Arabidopsis thaliana: one gene and its partners. The protein of the gene in region 3 interacts with the protein of the main gene of each other region in a pairwise test. Each region holds a gene or a part of one and is shown on either strand. Other genes may lie near its edges. The genes, in order: DDL, IDD14, AT3G21810 and SGR5.

The links.
Region 1: the proteins of AT3G21810 (region 3) and DDL interact in a two-hybrid assay, tested with the Arabidopsis thaliana proteins (one large-scale study listed by BioGRID).
Region 2: the proteins of AT3G21810 (region 3) and IDD14 interact in a two-hybrid assay, tested with the Arabidopsis thaliana proteins (one large-scale study listed by BioGRID).
Region 4: the proteins of AT3G21810 (region 3) and SGR5 interact in a two-hybrid assay, tested with the Arabidopsis thaliana proteins (one large-scale study listed by BioGRID).

The regions. Positions count from the first base shown.
Region 1 is NC_003074.8:7,173,924-7,179,926, forward strand, and holds DDL (SMAD/FHA domain-containing protein), read right to left. Parts: upstream 4,098-6,003; 5' UTR 3,949-4,097; intron 3,712-3,948; 5' UTR 3,678-3,711; coding exon 3,303-3,677; intron 2,843-3,302; coding exon 2,811-2,842; intron 2,732-2,810; coding exon 2,665-2,731; intron 2,554-2,664; coding exon 2,496-2,553; intron 2,144-2,495; coding exon 2,051-2,143; intron 1,529-2,050; coding exon 1,414-1,528; intron 1,300-1,413; coding exon 1,252-1,299; intron 1,161-1,251; coding exon 1,115-1,160; intron 1,027-1,114; coding exon 956-1,026; intron 812-955; coding exon 772-811; 3' UTR 513-771; downstream 1-512. Other genes in the region: AT3G20555 (uncharacterized protein), read right to left, coding at 4,277-4,468, 4,551-4,691. UniProt on the Arabidopsis thaliana protein: Involved in the microRNA (miRNA) and short interfering RNA (siRNA) biogenesis. May facilitate DCL1 to access or recognize primary miRNAs. Binds RNA non-specifically.
Region 2 is NC_003070.9:25,530,103-25,535,317, reverse strand, and holds IDD14 (indeterminate(ID)-domain 14), read right to left. Parts: upstream 3,311-5,215; 5' UTR 2,835-3,310; coding exon 2,684-2,834; exon of another isoform or gene 2,583-2,683; coding exon 2,180-2,582; intron 1,707-2,179; coding exon 1,001-1,706; 3' UTR 640-1,000; downstream 1-639. UniProt on the Arabidopsis thaliana protein: Transcription factor regulating starch metabolism by binding directly to the promoter of QQS. The IDD14beta isoform attenuates the transcription factor activity by competitively forming heterodimers with reduced DNA-binding capacity.
Region 3 is NC_003074.8:7,682,446-7,689,219, reverse strand, and holds AT3G21810 (Zinc finger C-x8-C-x5-C-x3-H type family protein), read right to left. Parts: upstream 4,865-6,774; 5' UTR 4,640-4,864; intron 4,488-4,639; 5' UTR 4,369-4,487; coding exon 4,236-4,368; exon of another isoform or gene 3,108-4,235; coding exon of another isoform or gene 3,047-3,107; coding exon 2,903-3,046; intron 2,780-2,902; coding exon 2,746-2,779; intron 2,640-2,745; coding exon 2,498-2,639; intron 2,363-2,497; coding exon 2,306-2,362; intron 2,230-2,305; coding exon 2,132-2,229; intron 2,001-2,131; coding exon 1,929-2,000; intron 1,847-1,928; coding exon 1,620-1,846; intron 1,536-1,619; coding exon 1,336-1,535; intron 1,174-1,335; coding exon 1,036-1,173; intron 929-1,035; coding exon 860-928; 3' UTR 604-859; downstream 1-603. Other genes in the region: histone-lysine N-methyltransferase ATXR2, read left to right, coding at 1-40, 138-214, 333-389, 475-591.
Region 4 is NC_003071.7:430,743-435,800, reverse strand, and holds SGR5 (C2H2-like zinc finger protein), read right to left. Parts: upstream 3,527-5,058; 5' UTR 3,150-3,526; coding exon 2,990-3,149; intron 2,955-2,989; exon of another isoform or gene 2,790-2,954; intron 2,677-2,789; coding exon 2,290-2,676; coding exon of another isoform or gene 2,274-2,289; intron 1,678-2,273; coding exon 884-1,677; 3' UTR 724-883; downstream 1-723. UniProt on the Arabidopsis thaliana protein: Transcription factor involved in inflorescence stems gravitropism, probably by regulating starch accumulation in amyloplasts of graviperceptive cells. Required for stem circumnutation movements. Regulates lateral organ morphogenesis and gravitropic responses.

The DNA of each region.
Region 1 (6,003 bases), 510 kb from region 3:
CGTCGAACAGGTTCGTGTTCACTTCAAGCTTCTAGAGTCAAATATGTCAATCTTTGTTTTGTTACAAGGGCGCTTATAAAAGCTTCCGTACGTGGTTGTGTCTGAGTTTGTGAATGAAGAAAACAGAGGAAATGTTAGATTTATTATTGTCGTTTCTGTGTTATTTGCAGTATTTTAACTACATGGGGATACTTGCGGTGGAAGGTACCTAAGATAAGATGCACCATGTCGACATCCTTTTAATGCTAGCAGTCTCGGAGGGAGACAAGCCTAAAATTGAAGAGCTTCTCAAACGCTGACTACACGGTTAAGGATGCTGACGGCAGAACCACTCTTGACTGAGCAAGCAGGGAGGAGATCCGTGACTTGATCCTTGAATCCCTCACTAAAGGCTTGACAAATAAGTAGTTTTCAATCGCAGAGTTAGCTTTATCTTACTAAGAAAGTGATGTCCGTTTTGGTAACTCTAGTTGAAATCTCAGTCGTCTCCATGTTTCTACGTTAAGTTAGGTCGAAACCCTCAGGGAGCGACAATTTTAAAGTAGAGATTGATCTTATACAGTTATACCAAAAGTTAACCTTTTTCTCTTACCAATCGTTCATCATCATTTATTATATAACAAGCAAGCAAAAGATTTCTAAATGATGTCTGAGATTATCACCAGCACGGTAGAAAGCATACATGAAGCAGCTCAAACATCTCTAAAAACCCTGAGAAACGCAACTATCTAATCTTGTGATTTACTCGTTTCTGCTTGACTCTGATTTCATTCACTCGGCAGAATTCTCGTGCAACAGTACGTACTCTCGGCTGCAACCAAAAGAACAAAACATGTCAAGAACAGAAGAAAGTAGATGTTAACTGCACAGCAAGCAAAGATTAATCACAGAGAATAGGCACGGGGTATGATTCATAATGGGAAACCAGAACTAGAATGTGTCTTCATTAGAATACCTGCTGTTGCCAAACTTTATGGTGTCTTTCTCAAAAAGCTCATAATATCTTTGTGGCTCAATGGGACTTTCCTGAAAAAGTAAAAGAAGTTCTAATCACAAACGTTTGAATTAACCATGATAAAGAAGCACATAAGAAGGAATGTAATTGAGCACTTACATTGATATAAGTTTTGTTGGTACTACCAAGATCCATTATGTAAGGCCTGGAAAGTGACATTAAGGGAAATTAAAATTTAGCTTAAAGCCAGAAGAGGTACAAATTTTAAGCAAAATGAAAGAGCAGATAGGTTTTACTTCACTTGCTTCCCCATCATACCATCTGGTTTCTCCTTTTCCATTTCCCTGAGAAAAGCACATTCACAGTGACATAAATATTAAACTAAAAACCTTATTCTCATTAAATCTATTGTCATAGATATTACTACTTAAAAGGAGAAATACATGTCAGAACCCTACCGGTACTGAATGACAGCATGCTGCTTGCTGCAAGATGGGTGATCCGTAGGAATGTCGGCAATCCTTCTTTCACGTCCAAAGAGGTAGCAGCTTTGGCGGTGAAGGCAGAGTGGCTCTGTTAGTCCAACACATTTCACATGCACAGAAACATACATCAAGAAAACTGATTCAGGGCATTCAGAATTATTAAGCAAACAGAAATGGGAAACAAAATGTAAAATCTTATATACAATGTTCAGGGGTTCAAAGTAAGAATGACACGGGAAGCCACAGTCACAAACATATCAGATCAAAGGAGCTATTTTTCCTCTAAGAGTCATTAACATTCATAATAAGATTCATTCTAAGAAAATTGACAAGTTCTAAGAAGTATCAAGCTATAGTTTGGCTACTATCGGTAATCACGCTGTTATCTGGACACTAAACCATCAATGACCACAGTTTTCAAGTTTACATGGCTAGAGTGCATCAAAATTTCTTGAGTATCTCTTTCATTGCCACTACATGCTTTACTGCATATTTTGTGGACAAAAAATTGACGTTCACCACAGTAAGATAGTTAAGTGAAATACATAGAAGACAAATGAACCACTACTTAGACAGATGGATAGAGATGTGGAAGACGTCAAAGACTCACCATTCAGTGGTTCACCATCCTTAAAAACATACAGTCTCCATCGTTCGCTGGGTTTTCTAGCCTCTGGGGGCTCATTGAAGAGGAGTGTGATACCTGCAAAGGATTCACTCAGTCAAGGAAGCTAAGCATGCCTATGGTGAAATTTAATGCGAGAAACCACCGTCTCCATTCCTAGGAGCAAAAGCGGATTGGCAGTCAAAAGATATCTGCTGATAGCAGATGCTTATATATTGAAGCTTCTAGTCTCATTAGATATTGACCAAAGAAAGCTTTTACCCAGTGACAGACACGTACGCATACAAAATTAAGTAAATATGACCTGACAACAAAGGCAGATGTTTCGCAGTTCAAACATGCAATGAAAACACTATGGCAAAAGTTTCTAGCACAAGGTAATGGTAACAGGTGATATTCTTAAATGAAATGGACGGATCAGAAGTTTCACCTCTGTATCTGTTAGTTTCTTCAGCAAGTTTCCCTGATAGCTCAAATGATGGTTCTTCCTACAAGATATATCAAAATTAGATTTGAAGCGTTAGCATTTATGCATGGATGAGCTAAGCGAGCTCAAAATGACATTGGAAATTGAAAATCAATAGGGCTTGATATAATACCTTTTTCTTCGCTGCCAGAGCCTCTTCAACTGCTCTCATTCTCGCGACTGAATCTTCCTCGACATTTCTGTTAACGAAAACCCATAACATGGTTAAAAGAAAGACTGAAAAATTGTAACGGCTAATCTAATAAGAAGAAAACTCACGGCTCCTCGCTGCCCCCTCTTGCATTAGACCCCTGAAAAGACAAAAGGCGATAAAAATGACTGAAGAAGTAACAAAAATCTGTGGCTCGCAGAAAATGATAATTTGCAGAAAGCAACCATAATCTATATAATGAGCTTTTACTAAAAAGAGAGAAACATGAGAAGTGATGTTACTGGACATGCTGAAGGGAAACAAAGAGACTATCTTTCTTAAGTCCTTTAGCAACAGAGTAAGCAAAAAATGGCTGGCTGCAGGTTCTAGTTATAGACTCACGAGATGGATAAGCTAGATTACAGGATTCCAATTATTTATTATGTGACGAAACAAGCAGCAGAGGCTAACCTTTTCTAGCATACATCAGAGCTAAACAATTTCAATCACATTTATCTTTTCAAGCAGAATACGAATATGCACAAGTAAAACCCAAAACAAAAAAAAAAACACTTCTGAGATTAAGAACATATCCAAGCTAAAGAAAGAAGCAGAAATACCTCATCATGCCTTGAGGCAATAGCTCTTTCAGGTGAACGCCTACTACTCCTGTGACTCCTATCTGACGGTGAAGTAGACCTCTCATGTCTTCCTCTAGAGTATCTCTCATCATCTGTTCTTGTCCTTCTCCTTTTTTCAGTATCCTCTCTCCCTGATCGTCTTCTCTTATCCCCAACTTCCCTATCTCTTTCTCCTTCTCCTTTTCTCTCCCTATCCCTATCTCTTCCTATATCTCTATCCCTTTCCCTACTGTTTCTCTTCTCCCTTTCTCTACCATCATCTTCTCTCTCTCTACTTCTCCCAATTTCCTTCTCTCCTCGAGCTCTTCTCAGTCTCTTCGTACGTGGTGAAGGAGACCTAGAACTAGGAGCCATTATTGGAGTCAGGGTCGTTTTCTCTCTTCTTTGCCTTTGGAAAGATCACAAATTGAAACCAGGGTCAGAAGGAAAAGGCATGTGAGCTCCAGATAACACAGTAAACCCTAATTCCCAAATGCATAGAAACTAGAAATGGAGCAAAAGCCCTAAACCAAAAAACGTAAGCTACAGATTTCAAATACTAAATTCAGAAGTTCCGGGCATAGTCTAGGGTTGCAAGAATCGTTAAGAGAAAAAATCGCTGCATAACGAGAAAGAAAAATTTTACCTGGTGGCCGGAACTGTGACTACTTCGGCGGAGAGAAGAGGAGAGAGTGAATAATAATAATCGCAGAGATAAAAAGAATCAGAGCCAAAACGAGAAGAATCATTTATTTGGCCTCTTTTGCAAATAAATGGAAACTGAGGGGTTCAATATCAAACAAATTGTAGACGGTATGGTAAAACTTCCATTAGTTGACACGTGTCATATCTTGTTTGGTAGAAAGGATATGTATAATTAGGGCAGAAGCCGCTTGTAACGTCGTACCCTTGTACTTCCTTCGAGATTTTTGTTTCTTCGTCCTAGTTTGCAACAAAGATTTTATAATTGATCATCAAACAAATCGGTGAGCCTGTAACAAATCGAGTGCACCAGCTTTACCACCAACTTTGATAGGATAGAAGACAAATACAAGATCATAGATATAGTTGAGGTGGATAGCTAAACGACATAAACCATCAGAAGTGACAGTGATCTTGTTCTGATTGTAACAGAGTGCACCAGGTTTACCACCAACTTTGATCCTCTCATGAAGGAACTTGTGGAGAGAAATTTTCAACTTCGAGGAACATATGTCCTGAAATCCCATCTGTAGTTCTCCTTACTACCGATTTGTAGTCGCAACTGTTGGCCTTGAAGCTTATGTGGAAGACAGCATTCATAGACTCGAGCTTTAGAGACGGGTCAGTATGAGTTTCTCGGGTGATGCTTTGGTTTGTCGGGTGATGGCTCATCGAATCCCAAATCATGTCTCCTTGTTTATTTGATGTATCTTTAGTTTCATGTATATACTAGTGTACGCCAATATTATAGACGATTAAAAACTAATTCTTGTTTACGTATGAACAAAACGATATGTACTTTGTCATTATTATATTTTTTGTCAAAGATTGAGAATATTTATTTTTTTCGCATCATAGACACACAAACAAATGTTGTCTAATGATCTACCAGCCGGCTTGTATATCTAATTCAAATATCGGTCATGCATCATGCACTTCATTAGTATCTTATGTTTTGCAAAATACTGGCTAGACTGTCACATATATCAGAATCGGTCACCGTCACCTTCTTCGTTATTGTCATACGGTTTCACTATGACAAAGTCCAAATTAGGTCAAATTTTAAGCGAACATACGTAGCCTCTTACGTCATAGATTGCTGATGAAAAAGAGGCAAATTATTATAACAACCATCAAAGATTCGGTACTAACTTTACAAATTCACACAATTCGTATCTCACAATCTAAAAGTGCAATATGTCGTACATGTTTTGTAAGCTAGACAATAGTAAAATAATTATCCTGCCGGACTATAAAGGTTCGAGAACGTGGACCGACTATATTTATATATCAATTAGCTATTTGTGGTGTTAGCCTAATGTTGCCTTCATCACGTTTTCTGTTTTTTTGTTGAAGGATTTTCAAATAGATGAATTGACTATCATCACCTTGTCACGTTATAAACCATATATATTATCGTTAAACACTTAGTAGCAGTTCCCCACGAATTACATGTCTCCATCATTGACAAATTTATATTTTTGTTTGTAAGAACACTTTTTCCTTCCTCAACAAATTCTTGTACTTAATACAGATATATACTTATAAATGTTACATCAAACGCTAGATAACGGAGAATATAAGCTAAAATGAAATTAATATATCTTGTTTCAGCTTCTATCGAAATTATTTTCATTAATGGACAATATAAAATTTGATCCTTATCTACTGTTTCTGTGAATTTGTGATTATCATCAGGCAAATGTATCATTAGGCAAATGTTTTTATCTAAATTAACACTTTTATTGGAAAACTACCAAAATACATTTAGGTTCACCCATCAAAAGTACTTTATGTTGTTATGTTATATATTGTGTGCTAACTAAAAAGATTACAATTTAGCAAATCTCAAGTTGATGTGTACATTTATAATCTCCACTACAACAAGAAGGTGATCCACTTCTCTTGTATATCTTTATTTGTTCTTGCACGTACATAAAGAAATCAAACTGTTCAACTGCCATTTAGAATATTAAAACCAACAAAATAATATTATAAC
Region 2 (5,215 bases), on a different chromosome or scaffold from region 3:
TCTAGAGTCTTATAAAGATATTATTAATCAATCTTGTTTATTTTTTGAAAAATGAGAAAACTAAAGCTTTAAAACGAAAGTCCACAGAGATCAAAATTGGTTTTTTTTCTTCTATAAACCTAAAGTTTAATCGAGAAAACCAAATCAGTTTGTTGTTGCATTAGCTCTTTCTTGTTTTTTTTTTTAAATATCTTTTTTTTGGTGGTATATTCTACAAACTCTCTCATACTTTATTAATGAATTCAAATTCATTAAAAAAAATATTATTATTATGTGTTTGAAAAACACATCAAACTATAAGGGTCAAAAGATATCTCATGAGATTTTGTCTTCACGTAAAAATATATGATTTCTTGTTTGGTCACATTGAGACCAAAAACCCACAAAATCCAAATAAAATCTACAATTAATCGAATTAGATTTTAATATTTTACCATTCAATTAGACGATTTCAAACTACAGTCTACACGGACGTGGGATATGGAGCGAATTGTTTCTAGTTTCTACCTGAGAATTTGACTCACGATTTGACCTAATTATTATCCCTTGCATTTAATGCAAATAATTGACTGAAAAGAAAAGAAAAATGCAGATATTCGTGTGAACAATAGGAATTGGTAATACTTTTAAGTCACAATAGTTCAACTATAAAATCCAAAACACTCAAAGTCTCAAACCAAACTGAAAATTAAGATCAGTTATCTCTATGGAAAAACAACATTTCTGTAGCTAACTAATTAACGAATGCTTGAGAATTATAACCCGTTCATTACATTACGTTAACCAACAGACCCAAGACAATTCATACAACAAAAACTATTCTCTTCTTTGGTTTTTGTTTGAGAGAAAAAAAATCAAACCCCCAGTGAATACCCAAACCTGGTAACCCACAAACCAAGAATATGTAAGAAAACCAACGAATATCAAAAGATGATCTTTAATTCCAATCAAAGAAAAAAAAGAAGAATATTTGTTTTCTTTTGTGTTCTCTCTTCAAGGTCTATGAAGATGCTCTATCACTCGCCTTTTCTCCTTCGGTAGTCGCCGAAGACATGTAGCTCACGGCCAGAGACGTGCTCTCATCGGTACAATGCGTCTGAGGAGGAGGAGGAACCAAAGCAGCCGGAGCTTGAAAATGTTGCTTGCAATTGTGGCAAGTTATTTGCATCATCGTTGCACTAATCCTCCTACTTGCTTCTTCTCTAAAAAGATGAGCTTTGTGAAGCTCAGCTCTCGCATGTTGCCTTATTCTCTTGGCTTCAGCAAACTCCAATTCCGCGATTTCGATCTGCCTCTTTGTTTCTCTTCTCGCCTCCTCTCTTTCTAGGCTCGTTTCTCCCTTCTCGTAGCTCTTCTTCTCAACTTCCGACATTGTCTTTTGATCCATTGTCCCTATAGACAGACTAAGGCTGGTCTCATCAGCACAATTCCTCGATGGAAGTAGCTGAAGCTCGATACTACCATTAGTAACGAAGGGATAGAGCAAAGTGGATGGTTGTTGTTCCGACGGTGGGGATTGTCTTCTTTGTAAAGGATGTCCAGGCAATATAGGACCAATGGAGAGGTCCCCGTTCTCGTTGTTTTCCGCGGTTGAAGCGGTTTGTGTAGCGTTTGTGGTATGTTGTTGCTGCTCATGTAAACGGTGGTTGGAGGGTTGGGATCGGCGTACGGTGCAAGTGTCTTGGTGCTCTATGAAACTTTCCACTCTGAGAAATAAGAGTGTATTATATAAGTTAAACTAAAATGGAAAGCACAAAGGAATATTTGTATCTCGTGACAGATAATATAAATAATTAAGTTAGTGGAGTTAGGTATCTTTTGGATTATATATTTGAGTATGAGATATGCAAGACTTCGAGGTTTAGTATGGTATATACTTAACAAAGTTTGATAATGAAATCTATTATGGGGTCAACGTGAGTAATCAAAACATAGTTCCTAATTATTAAATTAATTAAAAGTATTTTCAGACAACAGTACATCCAAACAAACCTCATCAGGTTCCATTAGTAAACGTTGTTTCAAGATCTATGTGCGTTATCTAAAAATCAAAACATGGACACGCCATACTAGAAAAAACATTCTTTGATTTACTTTAAGGATTCCGATAAATATATATCCTAAATATATAATAAAAATAAAAATTAAAAAGCTAGGGTTTGTTACTAAGGAATGGAACCTGGAAAAAACTCGGCCGCAGTCACAGGAGTGGCCGCGAGTGCCACAGGTTTTGAGATGAGCTTTGTAATCAGATTGAACTGCGTAGCCTTTTGAGCATCGCTCGCAGATCCATTGCTTGTGGTTACTATGTTTCCGTCGGAAGTGTTTCTTGATTCCCACGAGATCTCCGAGCGCGTGGCAAGGGTTGTGGTGGAGACATGTCGGCTCCGGACAGACGTAGACTCTTTTCCTCACTTCCTCGTTGGTCTCTCTTTTAAGAAGCTTCCATGGAACTTTATGTCGTCTTCTATGCATCTGTAGATTCTGGTCCCTTTGAAACCCTTGGTTACAGATCTCACATACGTACCGATCCGATTCTAGTAACGTTCTTGGTGATAAAGATACCACCTCCGCCTCCGGATCTGCCACCGGATAAATCAAAATCTTTAACAGAACTATTTGATAACTTTCCGGATATAGAATCTAACAACTAGTAATTCTTGATAAGAAAATTGTTAAATACCCGGTGTCCCGGCGGGTCTCCGTTTCCGCTTCTGAGTCACGGCGGTTCCATTACCGTCGGGAAGAAGATCAGAGGAAGATGAAGATGGAGGAGGGTTGTGATGATGGGTGTTGATGTTCTTGGTGGTATTGCTTCTCTCGTAGTCTATCATCGGATGAGGTTTTTAATCTCTTCTCTTTTTGTATTTTATCTCAAGACAGTGTGGTTTATAGTGAGAGAGGTACTGTGACTAAATGAAAAATAAGAACAAAATTGAGGAATCTTTTGTTTTTCATGTAGAGAAAGAAGGAGAGATTGTTTTTTATGTTTCCTTATTTATTTGGTAGAGAGAGTACTCATCTTTACTAATAGAAGAAGAAAGTATAAGATGAGTTAAGAGAGAGAAACAAAGGGCTTTGTTTTTCTGAAATCATCTTTATTTTTTTTCTCACATAAAGGGATAATAGCTTTTCTGTTCCCTTTTACTATCCAACTTTTTATAATTTTCTTGGAAAAGAAAAAAATAAATGAAACTTTCAACTTTTTGTTAATTGTTTCATTGACCTCTCACCTTAGATGGAGAAATGCATTGTATGGTCTTTGGTGCTTCAATCTTCTTCAGAGTAGTTATGAACCTCTCTCTTCTCTATCTGTACACTGTTTGTTTACAAACACAAAACATATCTATGGAGAGAGATGTTTATACATATAAAGAGAGTGGGACAAGGAGCTTGGAGCCCACATTAGCATCAGGACAAGAAACAAAAAAACATCCCCTTCCACTACACAACAATTACAAGTCATTATTATTTCATATCATAAAATATTCGATCAGAGTGAGTAAGTTTTGTTTTTCAAAGATAAATAAAAAAAAGGATAGGTGAAAAATATAAACGGAATCTTGGAAATTTGATGTTTAACAGTACATGTTTTTTAATGGTGACAAATGTATATATGTGTAGCCTTTAGCTATAGGGCTGGTGTAAATTAAAAAGGGAAGGGACTTGAGAATATTTGTTTTGAATATAAGACACATGCATATACCCAATTTATGTTTCCGTATATATACAAATATACAATGTGGTGCCATCATCTCATGCCTTTTTATATAAGAAATAGGTTTTAATCAAATATGAATACTGTGCCCACAAGTGAGACGAATCAGAAAATTTCCAATATATAGTTTTTCTTACAAGAAAAACAAAAAACAAACACAAAACCCTAGAGTCAGATCTGGTTTTTGAGTGTCAGCTGAGACCAATTCTATATAACATCTCAAACAAAAGAAAAATTAGAGATCTGGAATATGTTCGAAAGAATTTTCTTTATTAAAAAACATGTCTATAAAAGTGTGTGTGTGTGTGTGTGTTGTGCGTATAACATATACTTAAAGTCCACCACCATCTCATTAAAGGGCATTTGTCTATCCAAGTGGAACTGTAAGAAAATTGAAGTAAATACAAATTTTTTTAAAAGTTTTATTTTTCATTAAAAAATAAAAAGAGAAACAAAAAGAAGATGATACTTTATTAATAGGAAGAGAAAGGAGATGGTTGAGTTGGAAAGAATGGGTGGGAGGATGGGGGAGATGGATTCTCATCACATGCAATGCTTTTTTTTCTTTTTTTGTAAAGTTGGATATATCAAAACTTTCACAATCGCATTCTTACTTAAGAAATTAGGATAATAGTCACCTCTTTCCTTTATTTAAGGAATATATGCAGTAAAGAACCCTCTATTTGGCAAAAATAATGGATAAAAATCATACTTAAATTCGATTATTTATTTTGTGTTTTCTTTAGAAAATAAAAGGATTTTATGGGTATATTTGAAAATAACACACTAATTAATTTATTTGACACTACGTTATATATATATATATATATATAGTTTTGTTATCCTATTCTTTTGTAAATTAAACTCCACTATGATCATGTAGCAACTTCACCCTCGTCCAAATTACTCGTTTAACTAGTTTATTTAATTGCGTGAACTCAATTCACTACCTTAATTAGTTTTTTTTAGTTGTTGACTTGTATTACCTTGAATTTACCCCGGTCTTTAGACTTAGCATTATCTATAACTCTTTTTTTTGTTAATACTACTCATTAAATTAGAAAAAATGGAGTAGTATTTATGTATTTATATGAAACAAATAATAGCACCCGAAAACCATTTAGTGGAGCTGTACACTGAAACCTGAGGCATTTGTCTCGTTCGCTCTTGTTGCTATCTGAAAGTTGCAACTTCAAAAGTAAAATTGACATTTTTTAGATTTCACTGAAACCCAAAACGGAGAGTATTGACTTTAATGTAGCCTTTTACAGAAATTACTTACATACATGAAAAAGTAGTATGTGCCAATGTTACGCGTAGCCTATAGGAACCAAAGTAAAATACAAAATTCCAAATAAAAGAAACTAAACTGGCGAACGAAAGAAAAGTTTTGGAAATTAATCCCTGTAAAAGAAAAACAAGAACACTAGAATTATAAAGCATTGCAGGTGATGTTGTCTTCTACAAACAATTTTCTTTAATAAAGTAGATATATAT
Region 3 (6,774 bases):
CTAGATGCTCTTGGTGATGAGTACTCGGACTGTTGCCAAGGTTAGAAATGAAGGGAACATTGTAACCATAAAACAGAGGAGTTATGTAACTTGTAACCAAGATTTGACATTATTACATCATCTGTATTTGTGTTTAGGAACGGCCTTCTTCCCTCTGCAAAGCTGTATGAACCATTCTTGTTGCCCTAATGCAAAAGCCTTCAAAAGAGAAGAGGTATCCTTCTTACATCTTCGTCCTCTTTATGGCCTACAAATCTTAAGGATCGAAGATTTTTCATCAACACTTTCAGACTGAATCCAAGTGTAACTCGTTTGTCTTGTGGGTTTTGCAGGACAGAGACGGACAAGCAGTGATAATTGCATTAAGACGCATCAGCAAGAACGAAGAGGTACGCATCTTCTCTTTAATCGTAATAGCAATTGAATATTTTGGAAAAGAGAGCTTGCTTTTGAGTTCCATATGTAAAACAACAGGTGACGATTTCATATATCGACGAGGAGCTTCCATACAAAGAGAGACAAGCATTACTTGCAGACTATGGTTTCAGCTGCAAGTGCTCTAAGTGTCTTGAAGATTCTTCATCAATTTGAAGCATAATTTTTGTTTTCAAAAGAACAGAAATTTTCAATTTTGCCTATATAGTGATTACACTGGAAATCACTACTGAAATAAAGAGTATGGCGTTAGTTTCTCTACGCAACATTGAAACAATAAAAGGACATCTTCGTTTGAAGATCAAGCTTTAGTTCTTTTTCAATATATATCTAAAGATGATGAACAAAGCATGTACCGATTCTAATCATGGTCGTCAATATTGCACCTAACAAACAGGCTACTTTTTAATGTTCAAAGTCTTGATCAGACGGAATCATCGTCATAGGCTTTCTTCTGTTCCATCACATCACCGTTTACATCATCCTCGTCTCTCTGAACACAAAGCACACGAGATTCGTGAGGATCATCATCTCCGAGTACTTACTTTTTGGCAAATTTAGTTTACCAACATAAGTTTTCGAGAATCTACTCGTGCTTACCTGAACATGGGCATCTCTGAAAGGTGGGGGTGGAGGAAGAGATATGAGAGGAGAGCCGTTGGCTGCTTCGGGATTCTCTTCCTCAGATTCTGCAACATCATCAAATTCCCGAGCTGCCATACTCGTAGACAATATAACCTGAAGCACCGTAACCATGTAACCAAGTCTATTATCTCGGCTTTTAACAAAAACACATCTACAACGTGAAAGATCATCAAAAGCACTAAGAATTAACATGATCCCCAACGTCGATCTGCTTCAAGTGAACACCATTTCTGCAGAAGAAGAAAGATGATGTACCTTATCGGTAGCTGAGGTGCCAATAGAGAACCTTCTTCTTTTCCAATTGTCTTCCTTTGACGAGGACCTGTTAATTGTGTCTTCATCGTTCCACGCTCCACTTTCTTCTTCAGAATATGATTTTGAAGAAAGCATATTCCAACAAGGTGGTCTCTTCTTCTCATTCTCCACCTTCTCTTCTTCACCTCTCCCTATCAAGCCTAAAACAGATGGAGAAGGTTCATAACGTGTGTATGAACTGATTTTTAGTTTAGACATAAATCTAATAGTATAGATAAGTTTACCATCTTCAACAGGTTCTTTCGTAGTATATTGATCCACATAATGCTTTTTCCTGGACAGTGAAGAAGTATTCTGCAACTCGTTATGTGGATCACAAGCAGTTCTCAAATTCCGACCATTAGTCTCTTCATCGCTCACAATATCCAGGCCTACATCCCTATTATTGCCTTCACTTCCAGCAAGATACGTACTAAGTTGGTTTCCCAATTTCTGAAGACGGGCTTCTGACCTATAGGTTTGGCATTGTGTTATTGAATGAATTTTTGCATTCTTAAATAAGAAGCAATTAGAAATAGAGATAAATGCCTTGCCTCTTTAGATCATCTTGTGCCCGCAAGAAACGGTTATATTCTTTCACAAATTTCTTCGAGCTTGAAGTAATCCTGACACACAAAAGGATTGAACAATACTTGTCACCAGAAGATCAAGTCCCAGATTTGCCAAATAAAGTTTCTTCAAGTATATCGCATCATAATTAATTTCAAGCAAACATCAAAAAGGAATTAGTCATTACCTCCTACATTCATCTTTCTCTCTATCCAACTGGGTCTCAAGCTCCTGGATCCTAGAAGTAAGAATGTCTACTTCATGTGCCTTCCTTTCAACGGACGCCTTTGGACAAAAGAAATTTGTCAATTAACTCGTATTTACGATGCAATCAAATCAATTGTGGAATGGAGAAATTTACCTCCAATCGTAGTTTGTCATCAGTTAGCATCTTAACATCCATCTCTACATCTTTTAACTGCATATAGACAAATTGGACTTGGGTCCTTTAGCAACATCTTTACAAATGTTTACATCCACTAAACATTAGATTAAGATAAAGCGAAATCACGTCCTCAACTAACACCCAACCAAGAAAATGAAAGTTTCGAACCTGCTCTTCCAGAACATTATTGTAACCATGAAACTTATTTCTTCCATCTTCTGCCCTGTCTTCAATCCTATTCCCAACTTTCAAACCACCAGCATAATCACGTCGTTCATCAAATCTACGGTTCTCCCTGTAGTCTTTATCTCTGTGATAATAAGAAATATAAAGCCGCATTGTTAAAGCATGGCCATCAAATTACCACTGAAATTTCACATAGCATGAGCATAAGCAAAACCGAGGGGAGAAGATACCTTCGATTCTCAAATGGCATAGAATTGTCATGTCCTGCAAATTTGAATTCCGTCGGTAATAAGAAAAGAAAGAAATACAGAACAAACAGTTGACAGAGACTTTTGACTCTGCCTAATCGACAACAGAACTCCATAAACCCAAAGCTGTAGATCTTACCACTAAACCTTTGTACCCGTCTTCCACTTCTGTCTAAGGAAGGTCTCCGCTCTGGAGAAAACTGTCTACCAAGTCTATCTCTTAAGTCACTATCCATATTGTGACGTCTATCTCTTAAGTCACTATCCATATTGTGACGTCTTCCTGCAGTAGACGAAACAGACTTTGCAGTAAAGCATACTTGTGCTACAGATGTGAACTCCATTTCAAACAATCAGAATCATGCCAGTCAACAACACTTGGATAAGATCACAGAAAACTACTAGTAACATAAAGAAAAACGTAATGGTGATTACTTCCCAGTTCAAAGAGACCACAATATAATGTCCTCTTCTTACCAGCAGTTGGAAAGAAACCACAATTGGGTACTAAATAAGTGGAGTCACTGAATCTCATTGATAAATCATAGGTTGAGAAGGCTTCAGATTATGTTGGACGAGAGAAAATAAGAACCAATCTTGAAGTTCCATTTAATTACACAATCAAAATCCACCAAATTTGATATACTGACAATCAAACCCCCATAAACTGCATATTTCTTGATCCAAGAAACCGCTTGAAAGACCATTGAAGATATAAATAATCACAGAAAATACCACGTGCTCCACATACATAACTGGAAGTATGAAAATGCCAGAAGTAATAACAACAGGCATTGATAAATCCTAATAACAAGCATTGCTTGCAACCAAATCTCGGGAGTCTGAAAACCATAGTTGTCGAAGAATAAGTACCCCGCAAAACCCATGATAGATTTTCTTCATAAAGAATGTGCTTTCAAGAGCAATAAGAAAACCAAGATAAATTTCACCACAAAAAAACCCAGCAGATTCCACTCCAATAAGAAAACCAATATAAATTGCAGCCAGAAAGACCAGTAGATTCCATTCCCGGATAAAAAATAATACTAAGCCTGTGAGTAGCTATCTTTCTGCATATTCCAGAATGATTCCGCAGGACAAAACTAGTCAGTAAAAGTTGATATGGAGAAAACCAAATCCAAAGCAAAGTATAATACTGATACCATTACCATGTGTTTATCAAACAGAACACTGTAGGCTGAAACGTTTTACACAATCTCATAAAATATGGAATAATACTCACAAAGCAAATGCATTGAACCACAAAACTTCAGAAGAAAAATACTTCACAGAATCATCAAAGTATAATATAAAAATCTTGCAAAGTCTAAGCAAAAGAGACTTAATTAAATAAAAACTTTTCTATTTTACTCTAATAAAAAGAAGCACTCATAAATTCATCAATCCTTCCACCATTAACAAACTTAAACCAGAATAAATAGCCTATTCAAATGCATAAACGAAAACATTACCTGTAAAAGAAGATTCGCCAGGACGACGAAGCTCAGCATTTCCATGAGCAAAAGTACAATTCGGCCTCGAACAATCACCAGTCTTATTGAACAGAATACAAAGCTTCGTCTTATACATACTCGACCCAGACATGATGTATAAACCAATTACAACGAAACCTCTTTTCTTCAGATCAAAACTTCAAAAGTCAAGCCAACCTCAAAAAGTCAAGCAAACCTCCATAACCATAGATTAACACCACCGTCTCGTTCCTACATACGAAACAGAAGAAACGCTTCAAAATGGAAATCTCTAGATTCTCACTGGAATAGGATTTTCTAAAAATCTCTAGAATCGAGCATGAATAAAAACCAGTTATACATCAATTTCGAGCTATGTAAGACTGAGAAAATCGAAAACCTACAATGGCGATTTTATGCGGTTCGTTTTCTCGCTAGGTTTATCGTTGAATCACACCTTCTTCTTCTTCTTCTTCAATGGAACTTAACGGCAAGGAGGAGAAAACAAGTCGGACGAAAATGATATTACCGGAAAATGAAAACAAAAAGAAAGCTGAAACAATTTAAGGATCGATCCTTCGTATTTATATATTTCTTTTAAGAAAGAAAATAAGTAAAAACAGAGCTGGTATTTTACTATTTTGCCCTTATGTATTCGAAGGATTAACAAAATGTCAAGATTTTGGTTTTGTATACTACCATCAAATCCGGTTTAATTAGAGGTATTTAGTTCTCTAATTCTATTCCAGTTTTGTCTTTTTTCTTTTTCTTTTTTGTTATTAACATTTGTATGATCTGTCTAAATTAAATTACTGAATATTATCTCTATATAAATTTGTACATCTCTCCATATAATGATACAACATTTTACTAAAGTATCTGTACCATTTTATAAATCTTCATAAATGGAAACTGAAAGGTTCTTATGTGTAGAGAAAAAAGCAATAAAATACAAGAGATGGAACATAATCTGAACACTTAATAAAAAAGTTCAAGTAAATGGAGTATGAATATCTCTAAACAATTAATATAGGTAAGTCCTATATATTAGTTTCTCTTTTCTGAAAAATAATTAATCTTGTGAGTTTTATTTTCAGATTTCTAATAAAGTTTTGCCAAAAGTTGACATAGTAAAGATATTAAGATAATGCTCGATATTTTGGGAGAGTTAGAAGTATATAAAATATTTGCCTTGTGATACAATTTTGGTTCTTCGAAATTACATTTTCAATCTTGGCAAATTTACAAACAGGGACGACAAAAACCAAACGCAATGATCATAACAGCGAAGTCATAGACTTATCAGAGAAAGGGAACAAGGAGTATAGGACCAAGTGATACAACTAAGTCAATAAAGCCGATAATAGGCATATGAAAGGTATGATCAAGATTAACAAAACTCCAACGCATATTGCAGAATTGGCCCAAGGGTATGATACGATATCTCGTAATGTCTCTCTGATGGTTTGACCTAAACAAACTCAAACCAAACCCGTTGCTCTCTTTTTAGTCTCTCATGTAAGATCACACCTGAAGATCACATAAACAACATCACACAGAACCAACAATTCTTCATCCAGCAAAATGTGGCAACCTTTTTGTTTCAACGCAGGAAATCAAGAAGGCAACACAAATTATCCACCAACAATTCTCAACATCGAACTCGTATAAGTAATGACAGCAACCATAATTGTTCCGTATGTTAAATCATCACATTTTCCTTCTCATTATTGATAACAGAATTGTATGCGAATGTCTTTAATCAAATGATTAACAATCATAAGACTTTTGACAACTAAAACAGGAAGAAGCAAGAGCATCTCCAACGAAAAAATAGGGATTAATATTGGAGACGGTCTTAATCGAATAATAAAACAGAACAATCATCAATTTCAGTTAGAAAAACCAAATCTGAGAAAAGAAAACATCATTGCACTCCAAACAATCCATCTCGCTCCAACAACTTTATATTCAACCAACAAACCTCATCGTAAATTCAGAGGAAACCCAATTCGTAAATAATGAAAAAGAAGATAGAACAAATGTGTGAGGCATTTCCAGGATCAAATAACATAGAAAAAAAAGCCAAATGATCAGGATATACCACAATCAATATTGCGTCAATGCCATTATACCTAAAGGAACCATATTTAATCCTTCAGAATTGGTAAAAGACGCCATTCATTATTAACAACAATAATAACAAACACAAAGATTTAGGGAAGATCTAAAAAATGCTCAGTGGAAGGAGAAGTCGTTTATTAAAGAGAGCTCACGGCAAAACAAATTTTCATTGCTTTGTCCACTGCCCTTCACGCACCTTCGTGCTATTTTATCATCATCGCAAACCAAATTTCCCCAATAAACAAAAACAAATCAAACTAATAAAGCCTCAGTGTGTGTAACAATTCAGATCATTGATTTTAAAAAAACCTCACTGAAATCCGCTAAGATAATTGTTTTTATCATCATAGGCAATTCAAAGGGAACACCAAAACAAAAACTTTCATTATAGTGGGCGAAAAAGGATTTACTCAGA
Region 4 (5,058 bases), on a different chromosome or scaffold from region 3:
TCTCTGTAAAAATTTATTTCGAGACAATAAATGAGTAGCTAGAAAATTTGCTAAAAGTTGTAATAACAACAAGTGAAAATGGGTCGGGCTGTTTTATCATCATTATAGATCAACACTTTTTGTCCGAATCTAACGAAAGATGAAACGATGTTTGTTTATGAACCTCGTTATAAGTGTAACGGTCACGGACCAAAACGACATCATAATAGTACATTTCCCATCACTCCATATATCAACTCGTGCCAAGCAACTACTTACCCTCTTTCAAACTTACTAAATATACTGGTATACATTAGATGTCGATAATCTCTATCATGCAGGGACTGTTTTGATCCTTAAAACGTGAGATTTGTTTTCAAATATATCACCTCAAGCTTACCAAAAATAATGTAGACAAATCAAGGATAAGCAAATGTATATTTAACCGAATTCAAATCCGCATATCACATGTTTTATTAAAAAAATTGTATATCCATTGAAAGTTCTAAGCGAATCTAAGGCCAAAGATCAAAACACGCATGTACGGATCTCCACTCTTAACTCCTTCTAAACTACTGTAGACGTTCAAGACGAAAAAATATCTATATAAAAATTTAAATAGTTAATTTCAAGGTTTTTTTTTTGTTGATAAAATTTAATTTTAAGGTTCTATATGAAACCTAGGATAAAATCATTTTTCAACAATTTAAAGTGTAATGTGGCGGAAATGACAGTAACATAGTTACAAAACATAGTCTAATATTGTTGGACCAAAGAAACAACTATATAACAACCATTACATAATATATGGTAGTTGAAAAAATTAACACAACCGGTAATTAATACACAAAAGTATAATAAAGTTAACCTCAATTTAAATATCTTATGTTTTCTTCGGTTTTACTTAAAAACCATTTTCCAACTCTCCGTCAGTATTCGCTGACGACATGTAACTCACGACAAGAGACGTCTCATCAGCCGTAGCCGCCGGAACCGCAACTGCTTGAAACTGTCCTTTACATGTTTGACAAGTGACCTGCATGATCGTTGAACTTATCTTCTTCATAGATTGTTCCTTTAAAAACTTAGCTCTCTCGAGTTCAGCTTGTGCTTTTTGCCTAATCTTTTTGGCATTTGCAAACTCGTTTTCCGCTATCTCTCGTTGCCTCTTGGCTTCTCTTTTAGCTTCCTCAGCGTAAGCTTTCTCCTTCATCGCTATCTTCATAATTTGCTCGCTCGCCATAATCTCTTTTATACGATCAAAGTTGTTGTAATGTTGATATGATGATGATGGTGCAATGGAGAGGTTTAAGTTTGTGGTATCATGATTATGATTATGATGATGAGATGGTTCTTTAACTTTTTGTTGTTGGTTTTCTTGATTAGGGTTTTGATTCGACGATAATGGAAGAAGTTGGAGTTCGAGGTTGAGATTGTTTGATGAGTTGGTGAGAATTGAAGATGAGATTCTCTGATGAATTGGACGGCCTTCTAGAGGTTGAGGAGTCGTAACCGCAACTGTACCGCCGTAATTGGTTTCACTAGACGGAGTGCTGACGGTTGAGGCGGTTCTAGAAGAGCATGCCGGGACTGTTACCGCGGTTTGTGGTGGTCGAGGCGGTTCACGGTGAACTCTCCGTGCGGAACAATTATCTTGATGTTCAATAAAACTCTCCACCCTAAAAGAAGAAAAGAAACCTATCAATTACATAATTTATATGACGTAGGATTATGAAAATGTGACAAAGTTAATAATTTTATATTAAGTTTTTCTGTTTAAACGTCGTTTATTAAATACCTTTGAACTCAAAAATATATATTATTAATATGAGTTTAGGTCCAATTATAACCTTTGTGTCGAAAAAAGGTCCAATAATAACCTAAATACATAAAATATTTCTTTAGAGATTGGGGTCAATGTCATTAATCTAAGTGCTTAACTTTCTTTTTATGTCACAAAAACCAAACAAATAGTCAAGAGATATATTAAAAAACTCTGATGCATACACATCAATACACAGAATTAGTAAAAATCATGAAGGATAGTCAAATCAAATAGTACTATAACTATCAATCTTAGTCTTTGGTCCCTAGAAGAATTTTCTATATTTGTCTTTCTATATGATCTCCTAAATATACAAAACAAACAGAGTCAAATTACTTGTATATTTTAGAAATACTTAACAAATCCTTCCAAAAGTTTGCATATCTTTTCAGAATTAATAATACCAATAATTAATTTATAAAATGGGTCAAAAAAAAATCAAATGATAGAGAGGAACAAGAAATTATACCTGGAGAAGACACGACCACAGTCACAAGAATGTCCTCTAGTACCACAAGTTTTGAGATGAGCTTTGTAATCAGATTGAACAGCATAACCTTTAGAGCATCTCTCACAAACCCATTGCTTATGGTTACTATGTTTTCTTCTGAAATGTTTTTTGATGCCGACAAGATCTCCCAGAGCATGACAAGGATTATGGTGAAGGCAAGTGGGTTCAGGGCAAACATAGACTCGTTTCTTCACCTCTATGTTGTTGTCTCTTTTAAGAAGCTTCCATGGAACTTTGTGACGTCTTCTATGCATCTGGAGATTCTGGTCTCTTTGAAACCCTTGGTTACAGATCTCACATATGTATCTGTCTGATTCAAGAAGAGTTCTTGGTGATAAAGACACAACTTCTGCATCTGGATCTGAAAAGGAGATAAGGCAAAACCCATCAAAACACATGTCTTAGTTGATTAATAAAGTTGAGATTTTAAATGAGGTTTAAGAATTAAAAACAATGAAAACCCATTAATTGTACCTATAACTTTGAAACTGGCAATAAGAAAAAGAGAAATTTTAAAACTAAACCTATAATAAACCTGTATTTCTAATGGGGTTTAAGAGAAAAAAAAAACAAAAAACAATAGTACCCATGAGTTGAAAATTTTCATAAGAAAATAAAAACAAGAAAAAAAGATTTTGAAAAATAAATTTTCTGTAGTGGGGATTTATTATTACCTGGGGTACCTGCAGGTCTTCTTTTCCTCTTCTGAGTGGATGTGTTTGTGGTGGTGACCCCATTTTCTGAAGAGGAGAGGAAAGGATCAGAAGAAGAAGAAGAAACCACACAACATGTGTTTGTGTTCTTGTTGGACAACATCACTTGATCTGTTCTCATCAATTACTCTACTTTTCTTGATCTTTCTTTTTGACTTTATTGTATTTGGATTCTAGAGATTGATTTGATGAAAGAACAAGGCCCAAAGACCAAAAAAAAAAAAAAATGAAAGAAGAAGAGATAGTGGGAGATTCAGCTTTACAAAGAAGAGGAAGGGTGATAAAGAGAGATATAGGGGGAGAGAAAAAGTTCTTTTAAGCTTTCTGCAACAAAGGCTTTTCAAAACTTTTTCTTAGGCTCTTCAAAGTTTCTCTTATGTTAATATGATGAAAGCTTTTTAATTTTCTTGAGTCTCTCTCTCTCTAGCTCTCTCTTTGGGTATATATTTTGACTCTTCTTCAAAAACCTATTTCTCTCTCATACACTTGAGAGTTGAGAGCAAATAAGGGGTCTTTGATGTCTATATTGCTTCTACTTATAAAGCTCATTGCACTATGCCATCATTGCGTAAAATGTATACATACACTCGTGTAGCTAGAGAGAGAGAGAGAGAAGGTGGTGTATTTATTTAGATTTAGATGTAGATTTTAGATTTTTCTTTTTGTTATTTTGTATTTATTTTTTAGACTTTGTTTCTTTGAGCATGTTGGATATATGAATTTTTTGGCTTGGACCCATATCTTGTCTGATTGATGAATTTGTCTGATTTTCTTGAACCTTCACAAACTATTTTTTTTTTTTTTTTTGAAACATTTTATTTTATGTTTGAGATTATCTACATGAGTTTCTTCTAACAAATGAAAAAAAAAAATATATGAGATCATACGTCCACATGTAAGGCTTGCCTTTCATCAAAATATTATGCAGGTTAGAGGCTTAAAATAGCAATAGTTGTATTGTATCTGCAAATTAGGAGAGAATTTATGAATATCGATACGGTGCTAACTCTTAGATGATGTAAGAAGCAATTAAATAATAAGGTTAAGATACTTCATTACTTCTAATTAACTTTTTGACTGTCACTCTCAAGTCCTATAAATAGTGTGATTATACATCACTAATACATCTTGCGTTTCATTATTGTTAAAGCAATCCAATAATATATAGACAATTTAAGAAAAATTGTCATTGTTAACTATATATGAATGTTATGTCATCATGTTTCCAACGTTGGTCCACATACATGTTAAGATTCTTTTCGAATTACACTTGGAAACAAGGAGAGAAAAAAAAAGGTATATGGTTCTTGTGAATAATCCAAGGATAAAAATGCATTATTGCATTAAATACCAAATTCTGTAAGTTTACAATAATGCAGACAAACTATTATTTTTTCTTTCTATTTGGCTTATATAATGGATGTACTAGTGCCCATACATAGTTAGGGGAAGAAAAAAGACAAATATATCAAATTATACATGCGTATAAAAATAATTCAAACCAAGAGTAAATGTGAAAGTAGTATTAGTATGTTTTTATAAAACCCTATTTTAGTAAAATTCATATTCGATCCCTCGCGCACGTGACCTTATGTCTTACTCACGTGACCTCTTTTTCCCTCCACTCTCCACTGTCGATTCCTTTTAGGCTATTGCCTTTCTTCTCAGTCATTCCTTAAGAAGGTTCATTAACAGATCTAAGAATGTTACTGGATCAAGAATGAAATGAATCTTATATGAAAACATTTTTTTTTTTTTGATGGAACTCATATGTAGACTACCAAAATTAATCATTATTATGGTTTAAATTTTCTCAATCATAAGTTTTGTTACTTTAACACATTTTCTCTGTTTCAATTATGGTTTAAATTTTCTCAATCATAAGTTTTGTTACTTTAACACATTTTCTCTGTTTCAATTGTAAATGCCATATGTATTCCTTCCTTAGCTTGATCGCTATTCGCTACTAGTTGTTTTTATTTTTGTTATTGCCGAATAATAAATTAATTTGCAGATAAAAGAAACAAAAG